2 linked regions of the Pelodiscus sinensis genome follow. The protein of the gene in region 2 interacts with the protein of the main gene of each other region in a pairwise test. Links are inferred from orthologs where the notes say so. Each region holds a gene or a part of one and is shown on either strand. Other genes may lie near its edges. The genes, in order: NELFA and PRR22.

What was found.
Region 1: the proteins of PRR22 (region 2) and NELFA interact in a two-hybrid assay, tested with the Homo sapiens proteins (2 studies listed by BioGRID). The two-hybrid records come from large-scale screens. The link is inferred for Pelodiscus sinensis from reciprocal best matches to the Homo sapiens genes PRR22 and NELFA.

What each region holds. Positions count from the first base shown.
Region 1 is NC_134715.1:118,483,793-118,498,832, reverse strand, and holds the start of NELFA (negative elongation factor A), read right to left. Parts: upstream 8,047-15,040; 5' UTR 7,903-8,046; coding exon 7,651-7,902; intron 1-7,650. UniProt on the Homo sapiens protein: Essential component of the NELF complex, a complex that negatively regulates the elongation of transcription by RNA polymerase II.
Region 2 is NC_134729.1:21,431,813-21,447,256, forward strand, and holds the start of PRR22 (proline-rich protein 22), read right to left. Parts: upstream 7,177-15,444; 5' UTR 7,105-7,176; coding exon 6,978-7,104; intron 6,123-6,977; coding exon 6,060-6,122; intron 3,291-6,059; coding exon 3,237-3,290; intron 842-3,236; coding exon 1-841.

The sequences.
Region 1 (15,040 bases), on a different chromosome or scaffold from region 2:
GATCAAACTGCCAAGGAAGATTTGTTAATCACCTTCACTGGATATATTTTTAGATAGACTTGATACTTCCCAGAGAGGGTTAGGGATTAAGAATGGACAAGTGACTGTCAAAAAAAATCCTTTTTAAACCAAACCAAGTAACACCATGTATTCTATTAATTCCAACATTCAGTGTAGTCATAGAACTGGGCCCAGAAGTGGTTTCCAAATTATCCTGTTCCACCGCTAAACAATATATTTATCCCGGTGGTCATTTTAGAACGACATTGTCACTTTAAAAATCCTATATTCAAACTAGCATTCAGAGGAAAATTTAACGTTTAATACTTATAGTAAACGATACACGTTACACATAGTCTACACAACATTCAGAGCCACAAAGCTGATACAACATGTTTTCTAATCTCATACCATTTTCAGACACCAGCTCAGTATTCTGAGTCCTAACACCTGACTGGTGCAGACATGTACATGGTGAATATGGATGTAAAATCCCAGTTAATCAGTTAACCGGTTAAATGTTAGGTTTAAGTGGTTAACAATTTAAATGGGAGCAGGTAGTAGGTTGGGTAAGGCAGGAACACCCCCTCCAGCGGTGCAGCAAGCTACTGCAACACATCACAGGTGGTTGGAGAGCTGCTCTGGCCTGAACAGGCCACTGGTTAACTGGTAACCAGTGAGCATCACCGTGACCACTTTTAACCACTGACACCCTTAATGAGGAATAAAGAAAAACATGCATTACACTAATGAAGTCCAATCACACTGAATCAAAGTCATTTTCCCAGGTCAATTCAACTCATACGCAACCTAGTCCCAAAGTCAGTCCAAATATTACAAATTTTAAAGTGCAGAGCTGCAGTGGGATTAGCTCCTGGAGACGGTGCTGTTGGCTTCGGGACTGCTGCGTTTCTGCCTCCCCCCTGCACCGTGGAGATGGTGCTGAGGGGAACTGGCTCCTGATCTCTTCCCCCTCCACTGTCTCGGATACGGAGGCAGCAGAGGGGAAGGGAGGGAAGGGAGTAGTAAAGTAGTCACTTGACTCCTTGACTAGTTGCTTATATCTCTAATCACAAATACTCTATAAAGGGATTAAAAATGACAGCTGGCAAGTCTCCTTCAAGTTTACAAGTCGAACAATACTACTTGTAGCTGCTATCTCCACAAACTTCATCTAGGATCTGAAAGCACCAGCTGTCTTCTGCCTCCATTAATAACACTAGTACAACTTTCTATATTCAAAACTTAGTTGGCTTTTTTGACGATACACAAGGAATAGAAACTAGCCCACTCTTCAATTGTTTTAATGAGTTTGCAAGACTAACAAGTCAAAACTGAATGAAGTTACCTGCCAAGCCTATTACATTTGGATTAATTTTGAGGCAGTATTTTAATAAAGAGTATCTCAAATATGGACGGCTTTGCAGCATTTCAAAAGATTATTTTATAGTGTCACCTGAGCTGCAGTTCCATCAGTCTGAGACAAGAGTCAGTCAAGTATACCCCACAAAGAGCCCTAAACTTTTCAATTCACTTCTCTTGCTCCCAAATGCCTCTATCTGGTAACTTTCAGGTCACATAAGAAATCCTACCTCCCAACCGCCTCCCCCCCCCTTTTTTAAACTTAAGCTTACTGGTGCTTTTATGCCAACTCTCATGCAATGAGGGCTGGGGTCTTGATATGGAGGGATCATATATGGCTGGAGTGAGCTATTCCTATTTTCTGGTTTTGGGAAGGCTATTTTATTGTGTTTGTATTACATTACAAATTCAATTATACTAAAAGAAAGACCCTAGAGCTGGGACAGACACTTAGCAAGGAGTTAGACTATGTCTCAAAGTTACACAGGAAGCAGATATACTAAGTAAGTATCTTTTTAACACAGACTGCAACACCACATAATAGAATGAATGACTACACAGAAAAACCTACAGGAGTCATGCTGAGTCACAGTACCCTGAAACGGATTGGTCAAAACACAATGCTTGTGCATACACTTCTTCTAGGACATTTGGTTGTCAATACTCAAGGTTGCAGCGTGCACTAATGCATGTTACAATAAAAGCCCTTTTATCCAGCATGTGGGAGGAAAGGTACCAGTAAATTAACAATATCGGTTAACTAAGGGGGGGGTTAGTGTACGGAAGGTATGGGACACAGGCTCTGCGAGTGGGCTTGGGTTCAGCTGGGGGCTGGGAGGGGCTCAGGGTGCCAGATGGGGGAGTGAGTGCTCCCCTCTAGTGGCTTCCGCAAGGAGCTCCCCATCCATGCTCCTCCTGACGGCGCAGCCAGATTGCTCTGCTGCAAACAGGTACGCTGCCACCATCTGCAGAGGCGGTGCCCCCTGGAGATTCCATTGGCCGTGGTTCCCGGCTCATGGGCCAGAAGGCACAGAGTCAGCTCCCTACAAGGGGGGATGGAGGCAGTGTACCTGAACAGCCACCTGGCCATGACTCTGCCAGCAAAGTAAGAACAGGGAGCCACTTGTGGAGGCTGCTGTAGGTGAGCACCCTGCCCCGCCCCCGTCTGACATCTTAAGCCCCTCCCACATCCCAGCCGGCTGCCAGGCCCCAAATCGACTGCACTATAAACCAGGGATGTTAGATATTGGATAACTGAATAGTTGTGTAAATACATTAATTCTTATCAGTTACACGACAATTCGACAGTTTGTCGATTGGCAGATTGCACTGTAGCCCCACTCCTGGGGAGGTCCCTGCTACCCTGTGCTGCTGCCTCTGTATCGAGGAGAGGGGGTGGGAGGCACTGCGGAGCCAGTGCTGGGGGAACAGGCTTTTAAGCTGGCTCCTGCTCCCCATCCCACTTGCTGCCTCTGATACAGAGGCAGCAAGGTGGGGGGGGGGAAATGTGTATACTTGACAAGATTAATCAATAAGCCTAGGCTTATCAGGTAATCATATAGTTGACTCCTCATTGACATCCCTACTATAAACCAGACTGTGTACAGATCAGAAATGACGGTTAATTAAGCATGCTGGTTGGTTAAGTGCCAGAAAAAAGGGGCTTTTGCTGTATTTACAGTTTCCCCACACCCTGTTTAGAATTCTACTGTCACAACTCAGCAACAAACATATACTGACAGTGGTACCCATAAACATGAGTCTCTTGCAAAGAGCACACATATCTATTGAACGAAAAGGAGAATCAAGATGAACCAGCACATTATCTGAATTGGTATTGTCAGGAAACAGAACAATGTGGGGAATGAAATAGAGTAGAGATTCCTCAAGACTTAAGTTGTGGAAATGTATGCTCCAGAATGACCTTCCATTGTTAAACTATTCCCCCATATATCAGCCGCTTCCTGATTTCCAACTCAACACCACTTCAAAACAGCCTACTTAGTTAACATCCTCCTACACCAGTTAGCCATGCCAACTCTGATTTCCTAGCCCTTAGCCATTTGAGCTTCAACATCGTTCTCCTACCCCTCCATAGGGTGCGTCAACACAGCACCCTTACCTCAAACTAAGCTACGCAATTTGCACTATGCAAATTGTGTAGCTTATTTTGAGATTTCAAAACAGCTCATTTTGAAATTAAATTTCAAAATAAAGTGCTATTCCAACAAATCCCTTAATCCTTGTGGAATGAGAGTTACAGAGATTCCGGAATAGTGTGCCTGTTATTTTGAAATATATCTCGAAATAATGGGTGTGTTTAAAGATGAAGAAATGCTATTTCAGGATACTTCCAGTATCCTGAAATAGACCTGCTGTCTAGACATAGCCAGAGAGATCCCTGCTCTTCCCCTCTCAAGTGTGAGCACTTGCTGCTGTCCTCCCTAGGCTAAGACTCTTAGGCTGTGTCTACACTGCACCCCTTTTCCGGAAAAGGGATGCAGATGAGACAAGTCGGAATTGCAAATGCAGCGGGGATTTAAATTTTCCCCGCTGCATTTGCATGAACATGGCTGCCGCTTTTTTCCGGCTCGGGGCTTTGCTGGAACAAAGCGCCAGTCTAGACGGGATCTTTCGGAAAATAAAGCCTTTTCCGAAAGGTCCCTTATTCCTCTTAAAATCAGGAATACGGGACCTTTCGGAAAAGGCTTTATTTTCCGAAAGATCCCTGTCTAGACTTGCGCTTTTTTCCGGCAAAGCCCTGAGCCGGAAAAAAGCGGCAGCCATGTTCATGCAAATGCAGCGGGGAAAATTTAAATCCCCGCTGCATTTGCAATTCCGACTTGTCTCATCTGCATCCCTTTTCCGGAAAAAGGATGCAGTGTAGACACAGCCCAGCTGGTGTCTATAAGGGGCTTAGATCATCTTAACTATGCCTCTGAAAGGTGTGAATTTTTCACAGCCCTGAACAATGTTGATAGGTGACCTAAATTTTAGGTGTAAACTAGGCCTTAGATCAGCAGTTGGGCAATAATTTTTGCAAAGGGGACAATTAAAAAAATGTGGTAGTGGCTGCAGACTGGCTCCAGGTCCCCCGGAAAGGGCAAGGCCTCTGCTGAAAGAGGCGGTTCCCTAGAGGTGTCGTGCATTCCTAGTGGGGGGAGGAAAATTCGTGCACTTCCCGCTTCCCGCATGAAGTCTCTTGTCCCCCTGCCTTGCCAGGGGCACGCAACACCCAGGGAACCACCAGCTATTTTAAACAGCCGTCAGCTTCCTCTAGGCCCGCACGCCCCTGGAGGGGGAAGGAGACTTTGCGCACTCACCACCCCCAGGCCAATTCCGACCCGGGGCAAGAGAATGCATGAAGTCATTCACTGTTCAAAACAGCTGGTGGCTCCCTTTAGGCATTGTGTGCCCTTGGTGAGGGAAGGGAGCAGCCAGCCGCTTTGAACAGCAAATGACTTTGTGTATTCCCCAACTCTGATCTTGACTGGCCTGTAGAGTGGCAGGGAGAGTGGGCAGAATGTATCTTGCCCACTCTTGCCTTAGACTCAGTTCCTGTACTGATGGCAGCTTGAGGGAAGAGAGGTGAAGGAAATTTGGCATGGCCTAACATCTATATCAGTGGTTTTTCCCCCATTTGCAGACTCCTACAAAAATTCAAATGGAGGCGCAGACACCTTTGGAAAATTCAGACAATCTGCGGACTACAGATTGAAAACCACTGCCCTCTATAATTTGTTTCTCTGGCCTAGTTCCAAGCACAAGTACTGCTGGCCCAGAGACATAATCCCCAAAAAGGCAGTCAAAAGCACTAGCTGTTGTACATGGTGAAACTCATCAGCCTAAATACGAAAAATAATCTGTCCTGTTCCTCTCTCCCCTCTCTGTTTCAGACAAGAAGGCAACGGTGGAACCTTTTGAAAAAGAGCACAGCACTCACAGGAGCGCCACACTTGAGTCACAGGAATAACAATGCCTAGTCCTTAGGTAACACTTTAATCAAAACACTATACAAAGGAGGACAGTACCAATATACTCATTTTACAGATGGGCAAAGCGAGGTGAGAGGCACACTCCGCCAAGGTCACCCATCAGGCCAGAAGTGCCCAGGCCCTATGAACGCACAGCTAGCACTCTCTCCTCTAAGACACATGGGGGGCAGGCTATCCCACCATGGGCTGGCCGCTCAGGGGTCGGCAGCTATGTATCCTACGGGCAGCGGTAAAAGTAACAACGTTTCTTACAGGTACTGTCTTACCACAGCCCGGGACCCTGCCAGCTCTTTCAATAGTGCCCTGTTGGCTTTTGCCCCAGCTGCGCGCCAGGGTGCCTGAGGGCCCCCTGCCAGGGGAGGTGGAGAAGGGGCACCAGGCACAGTATAGGTAACTGGCTGGGGGGCGAGTAGGTACCGAACGTAACCCCCAGGGGGCAAAAGCGGCTGCGGGTGCAGTGCTGAGCACCCCTCTGCCACCAGGCGGGCAGGACTGAGTGCAGCGCCCCCAAGGAGCACCCGGGGGGGGGGGCAATACTGACACGCCCCCCCCCCCGCTCCGCGCGGGTGTGTCCGGCGGGCCGTTACCGATACCCTCCCCCACCCGGAGGGTGTGTCCGGCGGGCCGTTACCGATACCCTCCCCCACCCGGGGGTGTGTCCGGCAGGCCGTTACCGATACCCTCCCCCACCGGGGGGGGTGTCCGGCGGGCCGTTACCGATACCCTCCCCCACCGGGGGGGGGGTGTCCGGCGGGCCGTTACCGATACCCTCCCCCACCGGGGGGGGGGTGTCCGGCGGGCCGTTACCGATACCCTCCCCCACCCGGGGGGGGGGGTGTCCGGCGGGCCGTTACCGATACCCTCCCCCACCCGGGGGGGGGTGTCCGGCGGGCCGTTACCGATACCCTCCCCCACCGGGGGGGGGGTGTCCGGCGGGCCGTTACCGATACCTTCCCCCACCGGGGGGGGGGTGTCCGGCGGGCCGTTACCGATACCCTCCCCCACCGGGGGGGGGGTGTCCGGCGGGCCGTTACCGATACCCTCCCCCACCGGGGGGGGGGGGGTGTCCGGCGGGCCGTTACCGATACCCTCCCCCACCCGGGGGGTGTGTCCGGCGGGCCGTTACCGATACCCTCCCCCACCCGGGGGGTGTGTCCGGCGGGCCGTTACCGATACCCTCCCCCACCCGGGGGTGTGTCCGGCGGGCCGTTACCGATACCCTCCCCCACCCGGGGGTGTGTCCGGCGGGCCGTTACCGATACCCTCCCCCACCCGGGGGGTGTGTCCGGCGGGCCGTTACCGATACCCTCCCCCACCCGGGGGGGGTGTCCGGCGGGCCGTTACCGATACCCTCCCCCACCCGGGGGGGGGGGGTGTCCGGCGGGCCGTTACCGATACCCTCCCCCACCGGGGGGGGGGGGGTGTCCGGCGGGCCGTTACCGATACCCTCCCCCACCGGGGGGGGGGGGGTGTCCGGCGGGCCGTTACCGATACCCTCCCCCACCGGGGGGGGGGGTGTCCGGCGGGCCGTTACCGATACCCTCCCCCACCGGGGGGGGGGGGTGTCCGGCGGGCCGTTACCGATACCCTCCCCCACCGGGGGGGGGGTGTCCGGCGGGCCGTTACCGATACCCTCCCCCACCGGGGGGGGGGGGTGTGTGTCCGGCGGGCCGTTACCGATACCCTCCCCCACCGGGGGGTGTGTCCGGCGGGCCGTTACCGATACCCTCCCCCACCCGGGGGTGTGTCCGGCGGGCCGTTACCGATACCCTCCCCCACCCGGGGGTGTGTCCGGCGGGCCGTTACCGATACCCTCCCCCAGCCGGGGGGTGTGTCCGGCGGGCCGTTACCGATACCCTCCCCCAGCCGGGGGGTGTGTCCGGCGGGCCGTTACCGATACCTTCCCCCACCGGGGGTGTGTCCGGCGGGCCGTTACCGATACCCTCCCCCACCCGGGGGGGTGTGTCCGGCGGGCCGTTACCGATACCTTCCCCCACCGGGGGTGTGTCCGGCGGGCCGTTACCGATACCCTCCCCCACCCGGGGGTGTGTCCGGCGGGCGGCTCCTCCGACGCCATTTAACGGGGAGGGGGCGGGTACCGCCGCCGCCACCACACGGGGGCGTTTGCCGCCCTCACCCAGCCGCCGCTTGCTGGGGCAACTGGCCCCGGGCACCTCACTCGCTCTCGCAGCCCTACCCTGCCCCCCCCCCCCCCCCAGCCCGCGGCAGGACTCGCGCGCTGGAGCCGCTCCCGCCTCGCCCGGTGCCCGCGCAGCCCCTGCCCGGCTCTCACCTCATCCACCGCCCGGCGGGGCAGGTGCAGCATCCCCAGCAGCAGTTTGAGCTTGACGGCCGAGGAGAGGCCGTGGAAGCAGAGGCGGATGTTGTCGATCACCGAGGCCGTGAGCAGCGAGGCGATGCTCGGCGGCGCCCACAGCTCGTCCGTGGAGCCCAGCTTGTTGTGCAGCCACAGGCCAGTGTCGCTCTCCCGCATCGACGCCATCTTGGGAGCGGGGCGAAAAAAGGGGGGATTTTTAGCAGGCATTTTATGAAGACACCTATACGAAGGGAGGGCGAGGACCCCTGTGGGCCGCCGTTTCGCTCGTAACCCAAAATGGCGGCTCCCTCGCGGAGAGGCTTCGCCATGGGGCGCAGGGAGTTCCGTAATCTAAAATGGCGGCGCCCTGTGGGAGAGGAACAGCGAGCTCGGGAGCAACGCCTTCCGTAGTGCGAAATGGAGCCTCCCTTCCGTACTGCAACATGGCGTTCCCCATGTCGCGGGAAGCCTCGCAGGTTGGCTTCCCCGCCCTCTGCTGGCGTCCCCCAGCGCTTCTCCAAGGGACGGGGCTGCAGCCTGCGCCCGTTCCCTCAGCCCTTCTCCCTCCCCACACTGTCACCTCGCCCCCGCCCCTCTGCTCCGTCCTCCCGCTTCCAGCCCCACACCTGCCTCCCCGCTGCACAGCTGGTCTGCGCGCGCCCCTGCTCCGCAGCCTGGCTAGGCTGTGCCCGCTGGACGGCTCCGACCCTTTCTGACTCGGTGGCGGCTTGGTAGAGCTGGCCGGAAAAAATAGAAATTTGTATTCAAAACAACTGATCCGACTCCAGCACGGGACTCTTATCTGTACCCACCGCTGGCAGCTGGGCAACTCTCTTCTCCTTTGGTCCTCTGTTTCCCCCCCTCTCATCTTCCTTTCCAAACAACACACCCAGCCTGCTACCCAATTGACAGGTGATGAAATCTACTTGCAATGCTCTGCTTTGACATAAGCGAAGTTGAAGCCCTTTTTCATCATCTCCCCAAAGATTTTAGTAGGGGGTGTCTGGTAAGAGGAGGAAGTAATCTCCGTGCATAAACAGGAGAAACTGGGAAACAGGCCCTTTTCATACAAGTGTACACACACAAGCCTAACTTCCTGTGCAACAAAGGGGTCTCAGCTTCTTGCACCTGTGTAATGATAAGCACATGCTTAGATTAAGGACCTTTATAAATACAGCTTCAAATGCATATTTTAGTATATCAATAAACAAAATGGGGGAACCTTTCTGGGGATGCATAGAGACAGAATGAACTTGGTAAACTTGGCATGCTTAAGGCTTTTTTTGTTTTTGTTTTTGTTTTAAACATGCTCATTCTTTACTACCAGATAGTTGCAGAGTTCACAGTCTGGCTTTGCTGTGGGAACTGAGCTGATAGCACTTTTTGCGGAAAAGCGTTCGTGCCAATCTAGACGCGCTTTTGTGCAAAAAAAAGCCCCAATCACCATTTTTGCGATCGGGGCCTTTTGCGCAAAACAAATCTGAGCTGTCTACACTGGCCCTTTTGCGCAAAAGGACTTTTGCCCGAACAGGAGCAGCATAGTATTTCCACAGGAAGCACTGATTTCAAACAGTAGGAAGTCAGTGCTCTTGTGGAAATTCAAGCGGCCAGTGTAGACAGCTGGCAAGTTTTTCCAGTCTAGACGCAGCCATAGAATAATCAATACTTATCATATGCATATGACATATCTATCTATCTATCACTCATGCACACACACACACAAGCACACTCCGTCTTGCTGTTGTTACCAAGTAGTTGCTCCCCTTAACTTCACTGGCCAGGTGAGTTAGATGGGGGAGGGGTGAAGCCGGGCTTCCACCCCCTCTTCAACTGCTGTAGCTGTCTGGAGGTGCTTGGCTCTCAAGTCTTACTCATTCTCACCTCATTCATTCAACAGGGCAATTGATTACAGAGTGGGGGGAAGATCTTATTCTACTCCTAGCAAAAGACATTTTTACCACTTTAACTATATACTCAGTTTTCTACAAGTTTTCTATATAGGGTTCTAATACAAAGTTAAAAGGTTATATGGATTCAGGTTCTAATACAAAATTACAAGGTTATATGGAGAGGCACAATGCCAAGTCATATGAAATAATACATAGATTTATCTACATTGTTGATATTAGTAAAATGCAATATTTACCTGATTTCCACCCATATGACAGTACTTTTAATGAGCAATGACTGTCCAGGAATGTAACTACTAAAACTCATGTCAACAGAGCATGAAGGTGCCAGAGTCTTTCAGAGAAAAGGTACCCAGAATTTAACATGGGCAAAACAACTCATTTTTTTGGAAATGGTTGATCTGTTTTGGCTGGAGAGGGAGAGAGAAAGCAAGATTATACCACCTCCCTCCAGGATCTGAACTTCTACAAACCCAATCACATATCTTATGGCTGCTGTGGGTTATCCTTTGGCAGAGCTTCCTAATTAAGAGTACGGTAGTGTTTTTAGCTATCAAGAAGGCAGCATAAGAGTTTCTCCTTTCATTCAAGTAAAATTAACCCTCATCCCCTTTCTTGTTTATTTTTTACAGTGAAGGATCAGGCATTTAAGAAGGGAGATTACAAGACCTGTCCTGAAACTCAGCTATGGAAATCAGGAAGAAATCAGGAAATCATCACCTTTTGCCTGAGAACAGAGCCAAACACAAAGAGGTTATTTGGTGGCAGGAGATGTCACTTCTAACTTTTTCTCTAAGACTTAGTCTACACTGCAGGGTTTTTGTGCAAAAAGCTTTTTGCAGAAGAGATCTTCCATAAAAACTTCTTATGCAAAAGCACGTCCACACCCCAAAAGCTCATCGCAAAAGCAATGTGCTTTTGCACAGAAGAGTGTCGACACTGCATGGACGCTCTTGCGCAAGAAAGTTCTGATGGCCATTCACAGAATTCTTCTGATCATTGTACAGGTCAAAAACTTGTCTCTCTCACCAACAGAAGTTGGTTCAATAAAAGAGATTACCTACCTTCTGTTGCTCATAGAATCATAGAGCTGGAAGAGACCTCAGGAGGTCATCAAGTCAAGCCCCCTGCTCAAGGCGGGACCAATCCCAACTAAATCAACCCAGCCAGGGTTTTATCAAGCCGAGACTTAAAATCCTCTCAGGGTGGAGATTCCACCACCTCCCTAGGTAACCCATTACAGTGCTTCACCACCCTCCGAGTGAAATAGTTTTTCCTAATATCCAACCTAGACCCTTCCCACTGTAACTTGAGACCATTGCTCCTTGTTCTGCCACCTGTCTCTGCTGAGAACAGCCTTTCTCCATCCTCTTTGGAACCTCCCTTCAGGAAATTCCAAAGGGGGGGAGGGATAGCTCAGTGGTTTGAGCATTGGTCTGCTAAACCCAGGGTTGTGAGTTCAATCCTTGTGGAGGCCATTTTAGGGATTTGGGGCAAAAGTTTGTCAGGGATGGTACTTGGTCCTGCTGTGAAGGCAAGGGGCTGGACTCAATGACCTTCAAGGTCCCTTCCAGTTCTAGGAGATAGGCAATCTCCATTAATTTAAAAATTTATTTTATTTATAAGTTGAAGGCTGTTATCAAATCCCCCCTCACTCTTCTCTCCTGCAGACTAAACAAACCCAAATCCCTCAGTTTCTCCTCATAGGTCATGTGCTTCAGCCCCCTAATCATTTTGATTGCCCTCTGCTGGACCCTCTCCAATGCATCCACATCCTTTCTATAGTGGGGGACCCAGAACTGGACACACTACTCCAGATGTGGCCTCACCAGAGCTGAATAAAGGGGAATAATCACTTCTCTGGATCTGCTGGTAATGCTCCTCCTAATGCACCCTAATATGCTATTAGCCCTCTTGGCTACAAGGGCACACCATTGACTCATATCCAGCTTCTCATCCACTGTAATCCCCAAGTCCTTTTCTGCAGAACTGCTACTTAGCCATTTGGTCCCCAGCTTGTAACAATGCTTGGGATTCTTCTGTCCCAAGTGCAGGACTCTACACTTGTCCTTGATGAACCTCATTAGATTTCTTTTGGCTCAATCCTCTAATCTGTCCAGGTCATTCTGGACCCTACTCCTGCCCTCCAGCATATCTACCTCTCCCCCTAGCTTAGTGTCATCTGCGAACTTACTGAGGGTGCAATCTATCCCCTCATCCAGAGAATGCTCATATCCTGGGACAAACACAGTTATAACAACACTGCACACAACATGTTTTGAAATTTCTTAAGTTTGTAAAACAACAAAGTGGAAAAAAATCCATTATGTGGAAACTTTTAGACACTAGTATGAGTCATCAGCAAAGTTGGAACCTTTACCTCTATAGCACAAGACCTCTGACATTTCCGCTAACTAGTAGTGGTTGTAAGTTATCATTCTGTAGGCTGACTGGCCACTGGATGAGTCTGAGACACACAATTTGCCAGTGGGTTTTACAGATGTTTGCTTATAGCAGAGGAATAGCAGGCTTCAGGTATGAGAAATATTGGTTTGGAAGGGGCCACAATAGATCAACTAGTTCAGTCCTTTGCACTAAATTAGAAGTAAGTATTATCTAGACCATCCCTGACAGATGTTTTTGTGACATGTTCTAAAAACCTTAAATGACAGAGATTCCACAATGTCTCCAGGTAATTTGTTCTAATGCTTAACTATCCACATAGTAAGGGTTGGTTTTTTTTTGTTTGTTTGTTTAATTTAAATCTCTGAAGTGTAAGACCATTACTACTTATCCTTTATGCAATGGTTAAGGAGAACAGTTTATCACATTATTATGTACCTCTCTAGTTGTCTCTTCCGCAGACTAAACAAACCCAATTTTTTCAATCTTTCCAGATAAAGACCTAAAAATTATGACCTAATCATTTTCGTTGCTCTCCTCTGGACTTTCTCCTATTTGTCCACATCTTTCCTGAAGTGTAGGGCACAGTATTCCAGCTGAGGCCTCATTAGCGCTGAGTAATACGGTATAATTAATTAACATGCTTTGTATTCAGTACTCCTGCTTATACATCCAAGATTGTTTACTTTTTTGCAACACTATTACATTGTTAACTCATTTAGTTTGTGATTCATCTTTGGTTCTATTTAAGGTTCTGGAAGGGTGTATTCTCAAGTGGTCATAAACTCTTCTGCCCTTATTCTGTCTTCAAAACCCTGCTGAAAGCCTGTCTCTTCTGTCCCTTTCTCCTCCCTTAACTCCCAGTTCTAGTCTGGTCCTGGGATCTGTGTTCCAATCTACCCTCTCATGTGGTTATTTTCCTTTCTGGATTACAGTTACCCAGAGTAGGAGGAACTAATGTATTAGAAGGTACAGGAGAGTCTCCCTGCTTTCAGCACTATAGTGACTTGAAGAAACTGGGAGCATCAGTTGCAAAGGAAGTCTTTCTCAGCCCCTGTACTCAAGATGGTGTATGCTTAGTTGCTTTGTGGGGATAGTATATGCAAAGTTATTTTGGCATACAGAAGCTGTGAAGAGATGGAGCAGGTCCAGTACTGACAGATTCTTCAGAGAATTTAGCTGCCAACATTTTAACAAGTCTGCTGATAATGTGTTAGATGAGATTGGCCAAGCTATAAGCCTTAGAAACCAGAGTTTCTCATGAGACCATCCTTGACAGGGCCATCCTTAGGGGGACACAGGGCAACATACCCAGTACTACAGGTGCTGGGCCTCAGTAAGGATGTAAGGGTATGTCTACACTCCCCCCCCCAGTTCGAACTAGGGGGGGGTAATATAGTCATACGGAGTTGCAAATGAAGCCCGGGATTTGAATTTCCCGGGCTTCATTTGCATAAAGCCGGCTGGCGCCATTTTTAAATGCCGGCTAGGTCGAACCCCGTGCCGTGCGGCTACACGCGGCACGGACTAGCTAGTTCGGATTAGGCTTCCTACAAACGAGGAACGAGGTGTACAGCTAGTTCGGATTAGGAAGCCTAATCCGAACTAGCTAGTCTGTGCCGCGTGTAGCTGTAAATGTTCTCCATCTGGGAGAGAGCAATGGGCCTGGACTGCCTATTGTGAGGAAGCATTGTTCAATGAATGCCTATTCTAACTAGCACTGCTGCATGGACAATGGCTCTGAGTGGCCAATATACACCTGAGGAATGCGTCTGGAAACATGCAGACCGGCCAGTACCTCATGGCTGCTGGCATGTGAAACACAGACAGGTCACTGGATCATGTGACCAGCTCCCATTTGGGAGACATCAGGGATATAAAAGTGCCATGAATCTATCTCCATTTTGTCTTCAATCTTGCTTCTGCTTCCAGATGCAGCCTTGCTAGGGACAGAGAGCTGGGAAGGATTGCTGACCCATCCTAATACAGGATGTACACCAGAGACTTCTAAGCTAGCAGTTTGTAACATCTCTGCTCAGAACCTGCATCAAGAACTTGGTAATTGATGTATGTAATGTATTCTCCTTAACAATCTTGCTCTCAACCTTTTATTTCTTTTTTTAATAAACCTTTAGATTTTAGATTCTAAAGGACTGGCTCAGCATGCTCTTGTGGGTAAGATCTAAAGCAGTGGTCTCCAACCTTTTTTACACCCAAGATCACTTTTTAAATCTCAGAACAGGCGAAGATCTACTGCCCCGCCCCTTCCTTGAAACCTCGCCCCTTCCTTTAAGCCCCGCCCTCTATTCTCCTCCTGTCCATCACTTGCTATCCCCAGCCCTTACTTACACACTCTGATAAACAGTTTATTTTTAAATTATACGATACATACAATTAAAATCACGTGTTTATAGTTATGAAATAAATTGTCTGTTTTTTATTCATGCTATTTAAATCTAAAATGAAGCATTTATAATTATACATTTTGTGGGGACAGTACTGCGGCTGGGGGCAGGGGAGAGGGAAGAGAGTGCTGGGAGGGCAGAGGACAGGGTTCTGCAGCAGGGGACAGTGTGCCAGTGGAGACAGGTTTCTGCAGCTGGGGACAGGGTGCCAGTGGAGACAGAGTTTGGGAAGTGGGACGGGAATAGGGACAAAGTTCTGTAGCTGGAGACAGGGGAGTGGGGACAGAGTTCGGGGAGTGGGGACAGAAATGGGGACTGAGTTCTGTGGCTAAGGCCAGGGGAGTGAGGACAGCATTCTGTAGCTGGGGACAGGGGAGTGGGGATGGGAGTGAGGACAGCATTCTATAGCTGGGGACAGCATTCTATAGCTGGGGACAGGGGAGTTGGGACAGCGTTCTGTGGCTGGGAAGTGGGGGCTGGGGAGTGTGGTGCCAGTGGAGGCAGAGAGTCCCCTGCATCTCCCTCCTCCCAGCATTCTCTCCCTCCCCCCCCCCCGGGAAACCAGCGTGTGCCTGCCCCGGGGCCGATCCCGCGCAGGGAAGCCCCGCGCAAACGTCTGCCCCGGGGCCAACCCCCCCAACTGCGCAC
Region 2 (15,444 bases):
CCCGGGAAGCCGTCATCTTTGCTTTTGCTCTCGCTGGATGTTGGCGGGGTGCCGAGGGCGTCTCTGGCGACCTCTGTGTCCGAGTTGGCTGGAGAGCAATCGAAGAGCTTCATTGCATCTTCCAGCAGAACCTTCTCCGGCAGCTCGAAGGGCTCCTCTGTGTCCGGCCCTTTGCTGCCTTCCGCTCGGACGTTGTCTTGCCAAGGGCGTGTCGCTGCCTCCGCCGTCGCCTGTGTGTTTGCAACACGGGGACTAGAGAGAGGGGTTTGGTCTGCAGTGCAAATGTCTGGGAGCTGGGTATTGACTGGAAGGGGCTGGCTGACATGATTTTCTTTGAGGTCTCCCCCTTCCACCCGGAAGCCATCAAACCCTTGGAATCCGGGGCCGTGAGGACTTAGCCTGCCCTTAAGATGGCTGTAGTTGCTCATCTGGAGGGCCTGCTCGCTCTGGCAGAGTGCAGGCAGCGTTATAAGGAGCTGGGGCAGTTTGTTGTCATTGTTCTCAACCAGCCTTTCTTCTTGGGGCTGAGGCATCTCAATAAAGGGAGAGTCGTGGAGTGGGTTGGGGACCAAATTCACTTGCTCTGTCCCACTGGCAGGGCTCTCCTGCTTGAAATAAGGCATGATGTATTGGAGGTTGCTGGGGATGTGGGGGTAAGGCGGGTAGGGAACTGTCTGGATAGGACTCTTGAGGTATCTCGGGGGGTCCAGAAGATACGTGTTTGGCGACGTTGATCCACCGGTGAGTTTATAAACCGACGGCTGCACAAAACTGGTGGTTGCCCATTCTATGCGGTAAATCCGGGGATCAAAGAAGCACCCACAGGGCGCCATCTGGAAACCTGGGCAACAGAGAGGAAAATGGTCGTGAGTGGGGACCCCAGAGCCCACAAGCAAAGACGTCCTCTGGGAGCGTGTGACTCACCCCCAGCCAAGAGCCACTACAGGGCCAGATCCTCAGCGGGTGTAAATCGGTGCGTAGCTCTGATGACTTCGTGTGGGCTGTGTCAGTGTCAGCACTGAGGGTCTGGCATGAAGGAGCTGGTTCTAGGCGTGCGAGTTGCACGTGGAGTACACGTCTGGTCAGGAACTGGTGCATGTGGAAAAACTTGCACTGATCTGGGGCTTGGGGCAAACACAAGTCTGGAGTCCAGGCGCAATTCTCATGGAATCGCTGGGCCAAGGTCAGCAGGGAGCCTACTGTGGTGTAAGTTACATGTTCGCTGTGGGCGGAGCACAGTGCAGACATGGCTGGCCAGCACGGGGTGTGTCTGTGCTAGGAAGATGACATGGGCATAGCTAGATTGTCATATCTGTATCTCTATCTGTGTAGACACAACCTACAGTGGTGGAAGGGGTATTTTCATAGATGAAGGAACACTGCCACCCTGACACACAACCTAACTTACAAGTGTTAACCAATCCACAGTGTAACTTGCAATGATTTACCATTCACATGGTGAGTGTCAGCATGGCTGTGTATGTGTGCATGCATGAGTGTGTGCATAGATGAGTGAGCACTTGTGTGCCTGTGAGTGTATGCATGAGTGTGTGCATGTGCGTGTATGCATGAATGTGTATGTGTAAGCATGTGTGCATGCAAGAGTGTGCGTGCATGCACGTGCATATGTACAAGTGTGTGCATTTGTGCATGAGTGTGCATGTGTGCACGTGTGTATGCGTGAATAAGTGTGCACGTGTGCATGCATGAGTATGTGCATATGTGTGTGCATGAGTGTATGTGTGCATGCAAAATGAGGCCAACAGGAGAGCGTAAGGGAAAGCAGACCTTCTCACAGGATGCTTTGCACCCTTTGTTGTCTGTAACAGATGAGATTTGCAAGGGAGTTAGGTGCCTGCGACAGGCTGCGCACCACCAGCCCCTGAAGGGGATGAGGTGGCTAGAGGGGCCAGTTAAGTGCCTAGGCTGCACCTGCGGCAGGAGCCAGGGAGCAATGAGGCTGGGGTGTGTGCACGGCTGAAGGCAGAATGGGGCCGCAGGGAGGAGAGTTGCAGTCATTCTCCCTGAGGTGAGGGAGAGACGGGAGCTAGGCCTGGAGGGAAGGACGAGTCCGGAGGATGGGGGAGACAGAGTCTTATAGAAACACTCTAGGAAGCTGCCCAGGGAAACAGCAGCAAGGTGTGAGGCTGTGCAGCCCTGAGCTGGGGGGGTACGGTCCCCGGGCTGCAGCCCAGAGAGGAGGGGGCAGGCTGGGGGGGAACGCTGGAGTGAGCATCTGCAGGAAGAGGCATCAGACTGGCAGAGCTCATCCTCGGTGGCCACAAGGAGGCGCCCCGCTGTGAGTAGAGTACCCGGACGGTGCCCAGCTCTTAGGAAAATTCCACCCTTAGGCCACGTCCATACGAGCATGAAGATCAATGCTGCGGCATTCGATTCAGTGGGCCTAGTAAATACCCGCTAAACTGAACGCGGTGGGTGCCCCCGTCGGCCCAGATAAGCCTCGATTGGCAAGGCCCGCTCGTTGCACACAATGGAATTAAGGTCTGTCCACTCCGGCTTCGCCATTAACGTCACTGGAGTGGCGTGTCTTAATTCAAACTTCCCAGTAAGTGCAGACGTGCCCTTAGGGTTCCCAACCTTTTCGAGCATATGGCCCCCTTTTCTGTCTGGTACAATTTTACGAACCCCCCGGCAAGGGGAACGGTGGGAAGCGGGGGCCAGCACGTCCCTTGGCCTGTGCTGCTTCCTCAGCTCCCACCCCCTCCATCCCCTGCCCATCCACGGAGGACACGCCAAGGGGGCTCTCGTGGCCAAAGGTGGCTCCTGACCCAGCACTGCGCTTGGCTGGGCACAGAGCCGTGGGGGAGGGGAAAGAAAAGAAAAGATGAAGGAGGTAACGTAGTGACAGATGATGTGGGGAAAGCTGAAGTACTCAATGCTTTCTTTGCCTCTGTATTCACGGATAAGGTTGGCTCCCGGACTAATGCTCACAGTGACGCAAGATGGGATGAAGATGGACAGCCCGTGGTGGGTACAGAACAGGTTAGGAACTATTTAGAAAAGCTAAACGTACACAAATCCATGGGTCTGGACTTAATGCATCTGAGGGTACTGAGGGATTTGGCAAATGTCATTGAGGAGCCTTTGGCCATTATCTTTGAAAAGTCGTGGAGGTCTGGAGAAATCCCGGATGACTGGAAAAAGGCAAATGTAGTGCCCATCTTCTAAAAAGGGAAGAAGGACAATCCAAGAAACTATAGGCCGGTCAGTCTTACCTCGGTTTCTGGAAAAATCATGGAAGGGATCCTTAAGGCATCCATTTTGAGGCACTTGGAAGAGAGGAAAGTGATTAGGAATAGTCAGCATGGATTCACAAAGGGCAAGTCGTGCCTGACCCATCTGATTAGCTTCTATGATGAGGATGGCTCCGTGGACGTGGGAAAGTCAGTGGATGTGATATACCTTGATTTTAGCAAGGCTTTTGATACGGTCTCCCACAATATTCTTGCCAGCAAGTTAAGGGAATGTGGATTGGATAAATGGACAGTAAGATGGCTAGAAGGCCGGGCCCAGCGGGTAGTGATCATCAGCTCAATGTCAGGATGGCGGTCGGTTTCTAGCGGAGTGCCCCAAGGTTCGGTTCTAGGACCGGTTTTGTTCAATATCTTTATTAATGACCTGGATGAGGGGATGGATTGCACCCCCAGCAAGTTTGCGGATGACACTAAGCTGGGGGAGAGGTAGATATGCTTGAGGGCAGAGGTAGGGTCCAGAGTGACTTAGACAAATTGCAGGATTGGGCCACAAGGAATCTGATGAGGTTCAACAAGGACAAGTACAGAGTCCTGCACTTGGGACGGAAGAATCCCAAGCATTGTTACATGCTGGGGACCAGCCAGCTAAGTAGCAGTTCTGCAGAAAAGGACCTGGGATTTACAGTGGATGAGAAGCTGGATATGAGTCAACAGGATGCCCTTGTAGCCAAGATTGCTAATGGCATACTAGGTTGCATTAAGAGGAGCATTGCCAGCAGACCCAGAGATGTCATTCTTCCCCTTTATTCGGCTCTGGTGAGGCCACATCTGGAGCATTGTGTCCAGTTCTGGGCCCCCCACTACAGAAAGGATGTGGATGCATTGGAGAGGGTCCAGCGGAGGGCAACCAAAATGATTAGGGGGCTGGAGCATATGACTTATGAGGAGAGGCTGAGGGAGTTGGGTCTGTTTAGTCTGCAGAACAGAAGAGTGAGGGGGGATTTGAGAGCAGCCTTCAACTTCCTGAAGGGAGGTTCCCAAGAGGATGGAGAGAGGCTGCTCACAGTGGTGAGGGATGGCAGAACGAGGAGCAATGGGCTCAAGTTGTGGTGGGAGAGGTCCAGGTTGGATATTAGGAAAAACTATTTCCCTAGGAGGGTGGTGAAGCGCTGGGATGGGTTCCCTAGGGAAGTAGTGGAGTCTCCATCCCTAGAGGTGTTTAAGTCTCGGCTTGACAAAGCCCTGGCTGGGTTGATTTAGTTGGGACTGGTCCTGCCTAGAGCAGGGGGCTGGACTTGATGGCCTTCTGAGGTCTCTTCCAGCTCTGTTTCTATGAAAAGAGAAAAGCAAGGAGCGAGAGGGCTGGAGCGTAAATTGCGGCATAGCTGGCGGCGGGAGCATAGATGGTGCCTCCTGGGGTATCAAGATCCCATCCCAAGGGCGGGAGGCATCGGCGTGCGGTTGGTCACAAACAGTGAGCCCCGGGTGAGAGTCACCTGATAGAATCATAGAATAATCATAGAATCATAGAATAATAGGACTGGAAGGGACCTCGAGAGGTCATCGAGTCCAGCCCCCCGCCCTCAAGGCAGGATCAAGCTCCGTCTACACCATCCCTGACAGATGTCTATCTAACCTGTTCTTAAATATCTCCAGAGAGGGAGATTCCACCACCTCCCTTGGCAATTTATTCCAATATTTGACCACCCTGACAGTTAGGAATTTTTTCCTAATGTCCAATCTAAACCTCCCCTGCTGCACTTTAAGCCCATTACTCCTTGTCCTGTCCTCAGAAACCAAGAGGAACAAATTTTCGCCTTCCTCCTTGTGACACCCTTTTAGATATTTGAAAACCGCTATCATGTCCCCCCTTAATCTTCTTTTTTCCAAACTAAACAAGCCCAGTTCATGAAGCCTGGCTTCATAGGTCATGTTCTCTAAACCTTTAATCATTCTTGTCGCTCTAAAAAGTCCTAGTCCCATAGTAGGCCTGATCCTTACTTTTCCTTTCCTTTCCTTTCCTCAACTTTCTGTGGACCCGCTACAGTACCATCTAGGGATGTGAAGGAGTAGCACTATCGACTATTCAGTCATCCTCCCCACTCTTAAAGGGACGGAGAGGAGCTGGCGTGCAGAGACACCGGCTCATTCTCTGGTCCCCCGCTGGCTCTCAGACAACCCTCACGCTGCCACTCTGCATTTTTAAGCGGCAGCCGCTGGTCCTGCTTCTCTGCTTCAGTACAAGAGCCCTCCTACCCCCTCCACTGCTGCCACTCTGCATTGTAAAGGGACAAACTCGTCTTTGCACGACGACTCCTCTCTGTCCCTTTAAGAATGCAGAGCAGCAGCCGGGAGTTGTGCCCTGAGCTGAAAGGGGGTGCTCTAAGCGCCCTTCTTATCGACTAGTCGAATAGTTGATGGAAATTCCATCGACTATTCGACTAGTAAATTAATCGATACATAACATCCCTAGTACCATCACAGACCCCCAGGGGTCCACTGACCCCAGGTTGGGAACCACTGCCTGAGGGCTTATCTTCACTGCTGCAGAGATCTGTGCTGCAGTGGTTGATCTTCTGGCATTTGATTTAGCGGGTCTAGTAAAGACAGGGCACCCCTGTTGATCGCGATCCTCCTTGCAGTCATGAGGAATAAAGGAAGTCGACGGGAGGGAGCATTTCTCCTGTTGACCTCCTGCTGTGGGGACGGCGCCGAAACTCGGCTTAAGGATTCTGGTGGTGTTATTTACGTGGCTGGAATTGCGTCTTTTAAGCCAACGTTCATCTGTTGTGTAGACCTGCCCTTAATTCTTATTGGTCTCTACATCTTGTGTCCTAAGCATACCTGCAGGGGGTACTGTGAAAACATCTTTCTCTTGACTTGGGGGATGGTACAGGTTGGACGGTCCTGAAATACGAACACAGAAAAGTCTCAGCGTCTCCAGTATGAAATGATGCTTAATTTGATGGACATTTTGAAAGGGTCTGAATTATTAACTTCAGAGGATGAAGGAAACCTGGGAGAAAATGGAAAGGAGTAGGAGAGAACCCAGCGGTATATTTCCTGAAGAAAATACATAAGAACATAAGAACAGCAGTACTGGGTCAGACCAAAGGTCCATCTAGCCCAGTAGCCTGTCTGACAGTGGCCAGCACAGGTGCCCCGGAGGGGGTGGACCGACAACAATGATCAAGCAATTTGTCTCGTGCCTTCTATCTCCAGCCTCTGACTAACAGAGGCCAAGGACACCATTCCTACCCCCTGGCTAATAGCCTTTTATGGACCTAACCTCCATGAATTTATCTAGCTTCTCTTTAGACTCTGTTATAGTTCTAACCTTCACAGCCTCCTCTGGCAAGGAGTTCCACAGGTTGACTATGCGCTGTGTGAAGAAGAACTTTCTCTTGTTAGTTTTAAACCTGCTACCCATTCATTTCATTTGGTGTCCTCTAGTCCTTATATTATGGGAACTAATGTATAACTTTTCTTTATTCACCCTCTCCACACCACTCACGATTTTATATACTCTATCCTATCCCCCCTAAGTATCCTTTTTTCTAAACTGAAAAGTCCAAGTCGCTTTAGCCTCTTTTCATATGGGACCCGTTCCAAACCCCTCATCATTTTAGTTGCCTTTTTCTGAACCCTTTCCAAGGCCAAAATATCTTTTTTGAGGTGAATACCCAGAACTGATAAATCAGGGGATGGGAGGGAGAGTTTAAAAGAGGAATAGACAGCAGAACAGAGAACTATTTATCTTACCGACTGATGCAGGGTTATCTGGAAGGACAAATGTTTGAAGTGGCCTGGCTGGCTGGCTCTCGGCTTGATCTAAGGGTCTGGGCCCATAGGCATCATGTTGCTGGTAGAACAGTTTTGGTTGCTGCATAGTTGCTGTGTCAGTTTAAAGGACAGTCAGGTACGGGACTGCTCGTGACATGTATCTAGGAGAATTAGCTCCAGTGTTGCCAAGGCTGAGAAGTTCTGTTTTGATGGTTACTCAGCAAAGAATTCCAGGTAACAAATGAGGTTCTAAGTCCCCTAAAAGTGCTGGGATAGGTGACGCCAAAGGTAAGGGCTGTCTGAGTTTTAGGGCAGGACGTTTAAAAAACAAAACAGACCGTAAAAGTTTGATCCTGGGGTGGCCTTGTCTGGGGAGAGGGGTGTTGTAGGGGAGTTGAGTGGTGTTGCAATGCGATGGTGCCTTATCTTTAATGGGGTGGGTGCAAAGCGCTCTCCCTTGCAGCTCAGCGTACAATAAACAACAATTGCTTCTTCATTGAATCGTTTAGCTAGTTTGTCAGGCACGGATCTGCTCCAGGTCCTCTTGCAGGCTCAGCGAATGGCACGTGCGACTCCCACACGCCTTCTCTCTAGCTCTCGCTCAGCTGGCTCCGGCACAAGCTCCGGTACAAGCCTGCATTTCCCCATGGAACGTTCCCGGGGGTGGGGGGATGCAGGGCACCAAAGAGGCTGATGGGTACTAATGATCCCTCAGGTGCTCCGAGAGTTCATCTCTAGGGGTGGGAGAGTAACCCTTGTAGATCTGTTTCTGCCCCACCACACATTGGGGGTGCAATTGTGGGGGCACAGGACTTCAAGGGGGAACATTTTTAAACACTTAGCAAAATTGATTTTTTTACTCCTAAAATAGGCACCTAACCCCCCTAAGCCTAAATGAACCATAAGACTGAACCATGCCAGGAACTCCCAAAAGGCTGTAAGAAGGAAGCCCCTGGGGTACAGTTTTTAAGGGTTTTTTTGTGTGTGTTCACATCCATAGGAGCCTGTTGCGGTGGGCGAGGTCCAGGTTGGATGTTAGGAAAAACTATTTCCCTAGGAGGGCGGTGAAGCACGGGATGGGTTCCCTAGGGAAGTAGTGGAGTCTCCATCCCTAGAGGTGTTTAAGTCTCGGCTTGACAAAGCCCTGGCCGGGTTGATTTAGTTGGGATTGGTCCTGCCTAGAGCAGGGGGCTGGACTCGATGACCTTCTGAGGTCTCTTCCAGTTCTAGGGTTCTATGGTCAGATCAAGAGGGCTGACTTACGCGGTTAACGTGATCCCGTCTTTACTTCTGGCATTAGTCAGGATCTGAATTTGGTTCTGTTATCAGATCCTAAGAGGTGGAAATCTGCTGCTGCTGGCCCCACTCCCTGGGGGCCATGCTGAAAGATTTGGGGCTCAGGGAAGGAGCAGAGCCCAAAAGGGGCTTCCCAGGCCGCTTCTGAACAGATGCTCCGTAGATGTCATCTCAGCTCCTTTGTGTTGCCCCAGGCATCAAGCAGGAACGTCCTTCCTGGTGGAGGCCCCTCTGCGAAGTGGGCAGTGAGAGCAAAATTGTCCTGGCTCTTCCCTCAGAGCATCAGCCGAGGGAAGAGGGCAGGGCGGGGACACCAAACTTCTGGGCTCTGCTACTGCCTGGTTCTCCGTTCGCTGACTCCGGTGCCCTCGCTGGGGTCTATGGAGTTGCACTGGTGCGAGTGGCCAGATAATCAGACCCCTCAAGTGCTGACTGGTTGCTCTGCTGTGTTGGGCTAGGAGCTTCCCCGCCTCCCAGGCCCTCCAGGAGACCCAGCTCACGCCAGCATCTTCTAGGCCATCACAAGGGCTCTGCTCATGCTGTGGGCAGAACTGAACAGCGACTGATGGGAAGGGTCCTTGCTAGGGTTGCCAGGTGTCCGGTACCGGACAGTTCGGTATTTGCACTCTCTGTCCGGTAAAAAAAAATCAGAAAATACTGGACACATTTGCTCGACAAATATTTAGCCCGCGTGTTCGGTATTTTTTGGGAGACCATCTGGCAACCCTAGTCCTTGCAAGGCTGGGAGATAGGGGCCTGCATGGCCAGGTAAGAGGAGACTTCGGCATAGAAGGAGAATTTGAAATTGTAGGTTGAACCTCTCTAGTCCAGCACTCTCTGGTCCGGCAACATCCGTGGTCCGGCGTAATTTTAGATAGCCAGATGACCACTTATTATGGGTGTGGCTAAGTTTTCCGTGGTCCCATAAAGTTTGTTTATAGCCACCAGCCCTAGCTCTTAGTGTTCTGTGCTGTGATTTAGTGCTCATTTACCCCTTGTGACGACGCCTTGGGGTTTTCCCGTCTCCTGCACCCCCGAAATGGCACGAACAGACTCCACCAGCCAGTAGGATAGAGGGAGTTTATTGCTTCTCCAGGATACAGCACAGATGTCATCTGGTTACAGGAACTGGGGCTAAGAGGCCTCAGTGCCCCCCCTTGAGATGGGGGGTGGCTGGTCCCTACAATCCCAGCCCCCCTCCCCTGCTCCTTCTCCCCTGCTCCCCAGACAGAAACTAACTAACTCTCTTCCAGCCCTGTCCCCCAGCCAGGGCGGCATTCCACCTTCCTTTGTTTCTCTCCCTGGGGGGTAGCTGGTCAGACAGGTTTGGAGCCCCCTTTGCATAATGACTCACCCCCTGCCCTGCTGGGTCGCGCTACAGACAGCAGAGGTCGCCCACAGCCCCAGCAAGGTACCCCCACTACGTCGCACCCCTCAATGTGTTCTAAGAGAGCAGCAAGCAGTGGAAGTGTTGGTCATGCTGCTAGACAATACTGACGTCCCGAGGTTCGGAAAATTCTCTGGTCCAGCACCTGTTAGGTCCTGAGAGTGCCGGACCAGAGAGGTTCAACCTGTATATTCAGAGAATAATGGTTGCTCCAATGTGGGCAAATCCAAGGAAATTTCCGATTGGGAGAAGAGGTTTGGAAAATCAAAGTCTTTATCTGGACATTAGCTAAAAAAAAAGACATGAAGTGGGGGAATAAAATCTGCCCATCGCTCCCGAGCAAGAAGCATGGTCGCTAGCAAATTCAGGGATTCACAGCTTGAAGGGATGGAAATTAAAAAAAAAATTCTCACAAGTAAAAGTATCCAACATTTACATCTGGTCACAAATGGACCCAGACTAGGAGTTTAGCCACTTAACTCCGTCATACCAATGGGATGATTCAGTATTGTCAGCCAAAGCGCAGATGTTCTCCTACTCTTGAATTGAGCAGCAGAGTTTAACACACAACTGGCGCCAGGGGGTGGCACTGTGTCCTCACACAAATTCGTCTTGCTAACCGACTTAAACACTGCATAAGGTTTTTGCATGTTTCCATGTTAAGGATAGATCTATAGCTTCTATTTGCCACCTTTATGGATGTTTTCAAAAACATAAGAGACATTTAAAATAATTCCTTAAATACACATTGGGATGTAGGTTTTACAGTTCAGGCAGTTGGTATTAATTGTTATTATATATGTCTTTTCTTGTACTTCATTTGTCAAGATCGCAAAGTCTTTCATAAAGGAGTTTAAAGTCTTCACCCCATTTTACAGATGGAGAAATTGAGGCCCAGAGATAGGGAAGTGCGGAAATTGATTTTTTTTGCATGTCATGATGAATTTTAAATTTGTGGGTTTTATTCATTTTATGTGAAATTTCCAAAGTAAAATGAAATCTTTGAGGGTATGTCTACACTACCCCACTAGTTCGAACTAGCGGGGTAATGTAGGCATACCGCACTTGCAAATGAAGCCTGGGATTTGAATTTCCCGGACTTCATTTGCATAAGCAGGGAGCTGCCATTTTTAAAACTCCTTCATTTCACGAGGAGTAACGGTAGTTCGAACTAGGAAGCCTAGTTCGAACTACCTAGTTCGTGCCCCGTGTAGCCGCGCTGCATGGGGTTCGAACCAGCGGGGTTTTAAAAATGGCGGCTCCCCGCTTATGCAAATGAAGCCCGGGAAATTCAAATCCCGGGCTTCATTTGCAAGTGCGGTATGCCTACATTACCCTCCTAGTTCGAACTAGGAGGGTAGTGTAGACATACCCAGAGTGATATCAATTGCCCTGCAAAAAAAAAAAAAAAGAAAGGAACACAAAATTTGCAATTTCGTCTGTTTGTTTCCAAATTGACTATTTCTGCAAATGTCCTCCTGCGAAAATGAAACATTGGGTATGTAGAGTTAGGTGAAATAAGAGCAGGCAATTTTGCAAAATAATTTCTTAAAATCATACCTGCAACTTCACTCCACTTTGCGAATAACACCAAATTTACAATACGTTGGACTATTAAGATGATCCTCTTGCATGTGATTATTTGGGACATGGCCAGTCATGATGCTATGGTTACAGCTGTGTTGAATTTTGCATTTAAAGCCAAGCTTCATCTGCTTTGTATGAAAAGCACCCGATATCCTCAAGGAGGGTGCAGTACTTACTCTGAGTACCAAACACATTTACAAATAAACCACTTAATTAGTGTGAGTTTAAAATAACTTTTAAATGGGCCCTTTTAGGGAATTTAGTAGCTTCCTTTGTCCCACATGACCTCAGCTCTGTTATTGTCTATTCGCTCAAAAATTGGCAGATAAGTGAATCTAGTGCAGCGAGTAGATTTTGGAAGTAACGTTTAGCATTAGCGGTGATGTGTTACTGTTCTTCATGATGAAAGCTTCTCCTCCAACAGAGACTGAAGAAAAAGGGCCGTTGTGGAGAACGCCACAAAAAAGGTCCTGTTTCAAAATGGCCACTAACCCCCGCTGTTGTCAAGAGTTAAATTGACCACACGGTGGATGAGTTTGTACCTCTGTAAATGGGGGAATTCTGTTTACCTTCCTCGTAAGCGTGGTGGGGAGGTTTCATTAAGTGCCCGCCATGTGCTCGGATGGCCTTGAATAGCCCTGCTCTCAGTTGGATGGGATGGGAACTGCTTGGCTGTGTGTCATAAGCCCCGTACTGCTAACCGTGATTCTCCTTTGGCTGTTGTAGAGCAGGAAGGCCTGAGTTCTGTCCCACTGCAGTGCAGAGTAACCCACAGAGAGCTGCGAAGTGGCTCACATCCCGCATGGCACTCACACGTTTGGCAGTTCTTCCTGCTGCCTAGGAGGGGGAGAGACTCCCCTCTAGACCTCTCAGGGAAGGTGCCCTCAGTGTCCCGCAGTCTCTGCCACAGATTTCCCACACGGGCTGGGCTCTGCTCAGCATCTGCCGTGCCTCCTGCTGAGATAGTGGCTGCTTCTCCTCCTTTCTCCTTCCCCCGCGAGTGACTGCCGTGGGCTCTTCCCCAGTCCCCTTTGGGTCTCTCGCTGGAGGAGACCCTGACAGGCCTGGCACCTGGGCCCGGCTCCCATTTGTGGTTCGGCTCGCTCGGGTTAAGAACCTGGGCTTGGAGGGCCCAGGCCATTGCTGCAGGCGGTGGGGGATGGTTCCCGGCTGCTGGAGCCCCAGGACTCTGGCTCCATAGACAGAGTGGGCCAGTAGGCCCCTAGGGCCTCCCCAGCTGCTCCTCCTCCCCGGCCTGCTGCTCCTTCTCCGAAGGCCAGACAGGCTGGAGAGGAAGGGCGCCCATTGCTGGGCCGGGGCTCCTTCCTCCGTGCCTTGCTGAGGTTCCTCTTCCTCCTCTCCAGCCCTCCACCGCCCGCCCGGGGGAAGGAAGGGGCTGCCGGGTCTCCGCTGATGCCACCCCTGCCCCCCTGAGGTGGGAAGAGAGGCGGCACAGCCAGGCCCTCCTGGAGCAGAGAGTTGCTTGGATGTGGGGAGAGGCCCCCAGAGCCTGACTACTCTGTTGGGAGCCACATACCCCCCCCTTTTCTTTCTTCACACAGTCTGACTCGTTCACAGGCCTCCCGCTTTCTCACTCGGCTCCGAAGCCTCCCCAGGCTTATAAGGACCCATACAGGCGTGTGGGGCGCTGAGACCACCACTGCCCCTGTGACGCCAGAGGGGTGAGGATGGGCAGGAGGAAGGTCCCCAGCCCACCTGAAGGAGAGCGTCAGAGGCGAGGTGGGGCATCAGAGGAGGGAGCACCCCCGACTGGTGTGAGGCAGGCGGTGGGGCCTACCAGTGGACTCTTGTGTGGGCAACGCTCGCAATCAACATCCCAAGCAGGGGGTTGGTGTGAGGCGAATACGGCCCTACAAGGCCACCTCTTACTCACATGTTTCCCAAAGGGTGAGGGGCGGCCCCTTCAGGACCATCACGGACTTGCCGGAGGTGGATCTCTCAGTCGTTCTTCCGAGTGTCAGCTTTCATTTTCTCCTTTGTGAAAAGGGAGCGTCGCGCTGTTGTGGCTGCAAAGGAAACCCCTTTACAACCTGACCTGAGTCTCACCGCGGGCGTGACATCTGCCTGACCTCGCGGAGTCTCCCCGGGTGACTTGCCCCCTTCATTTCAGTAGATGCTAACTTAGATGCCAATCATAATACAGGTGGCGTGGCTATAACCCAGACCTCCCTTGTCCGGCAACATCTGCAGCCTGGCATTCATGAATAGCCTCCCAGGGCTTCCAGAGAGCTGCAAATGGCTGATTTGCGGCGTTCAACCTCAGGGACAGTGGAGGTTGGAGGACTGGGCTTTTCTCCTGGCCCCTAGTCGTGGGGCTCCACAGGTGCCTGGTCCCTTTCCTCGGGTCCTTGATCTATCAATGCCAGCCCCTCTGCAGCTGCTGGAGCAGGGCTCCACAGCCATCAGCATCAGGGGAGTTGGCCTTTGCATCCTCTGGTCTGGCCAATTCTCTGGTTTGGGACCCGTCTGCTCCCGGGGGTGTTGGACGGGAGAGGTTCGACCTGGACTTGAAGTGACAATTCTGTGTCATTACTCACCAAAGCCTTGTCGAACCCATAGAAAGGATCAAGTTATGAGGAGCTAAGCCATGGGTTGGCCTTTGATGCTGCAGGGTGGCGGTAGAATTGGTTTGGCTTTCCTGCAAGAGTAGCTCATCTTTTTGGGAACCATAGTATTACATTAGACGAGGTTACTCAACTTTGGAAGCCCCGGGGTCCACAATGATACTCATAGCACATGCCGAGGGCTGCATCTTAAGTGTGGTTGCATATATATGCAAATATATATGCAAATAGCTTCTTTCACACTGACGGGCATGAATACAAAGATTAAGGCAAGACGACACAACACACAGGCCCCATTTAAGTCAGTTCTGCTGATATTAATAAAATGCAACATCAACCTGATTTCCACCCATATGACAGCACTTTTAATGAGCAATGACAGTCCAGGAATTTAACTACTAAAATGCATATCACCAGAAGACCATTGTATTGACTATGTTTTGGTTTTGGCTCCCACCCGTGGGATGTGTGTTGAGCACCGCAGGCCAATTGTAAACCCAAATTGCACCGCAGGCTACAAACCCAAATTGCACCGCAGGCTACAAACCCAAATTGCACCGCAGGCTACAAACCCAAATTGCACCGCAGGCTACAAACAAAAGGGCCGTGGGCAGCATGCATTACAGTAAAGACATAAGCAGCTGCTGGGGCAAAGCACCACTGTTCATCTCCTCCCCACCCCATCCAGGAGGGACAGGTCGTGCCCAGGTATTCTGTGCGGCTCCTGCAGACGTGGCAGGGTCTTCTGAGCAGTTTCCCCTCTTCCTGCTGACATGAAAGCTCTGAGCTCCCCCGAAAGAGAGGATTCACTCCCTGCATCTGGAGGTCTGGGTAGACATGTTCCGATGGGGGATCAGCCCATTGTGCCAAGAAGCATCCCAAGGCATATGGGTGGTTTGGAAGGAAGCTCTGAAAAGGGAGACTCGTGGCCAATTTGGGGAGGAGGGAGGGTGGGCTTGGCCGCAGGGATTACAGTTAGAATTGGAAAAGGTACAGAGATGGGCAACAGAAATGACGAGAGAGTTGGAACAGGCCCATATGGCGAGAGATTAAAAAGACTTGAAGGGAGGGGCTATGAGGAGGGATATGATAGAGGTCTATAAAATTACAACTGGTGTGGAGATACTGAACAGTGATATTTCAGAGGGTAGCCGTGTTAGTCTGGTTCAGTAAAAACAACAAGGAGTCGTGTGTCACCTGGAAAACTAACACATTTATTTGGGCATAAGCTTTCGTGGGCCTGAGCCCGCTTTGCCAGATGACTATTCCTCGAGTAATTGAGTGTTGTTTACGCCTCTTAACATAAGAACCGGTGTCACCAAATGGAATGAATAGGCGGCAGGTTTAAAACAAACAAAAGGAAGTGTTTCTTCACACAACCCACAATCAGCCTGTGGAACTCCTCGCCAGAGGATGTTGTGAAAGTCAAGACCATAACAGGGTTCAAAAAGGAATTAGCCCAGTTCCCGAAGGACAGGTCCAGCAATGGTGATTAGCCAAGACGGTCAGGGGTGCAAACCTTTGCCGTAAGTGTTCCTAACTCTATGCTTGCCAGAAGCTGGGATTGGCTGACAGAGGATGGATCACTTGA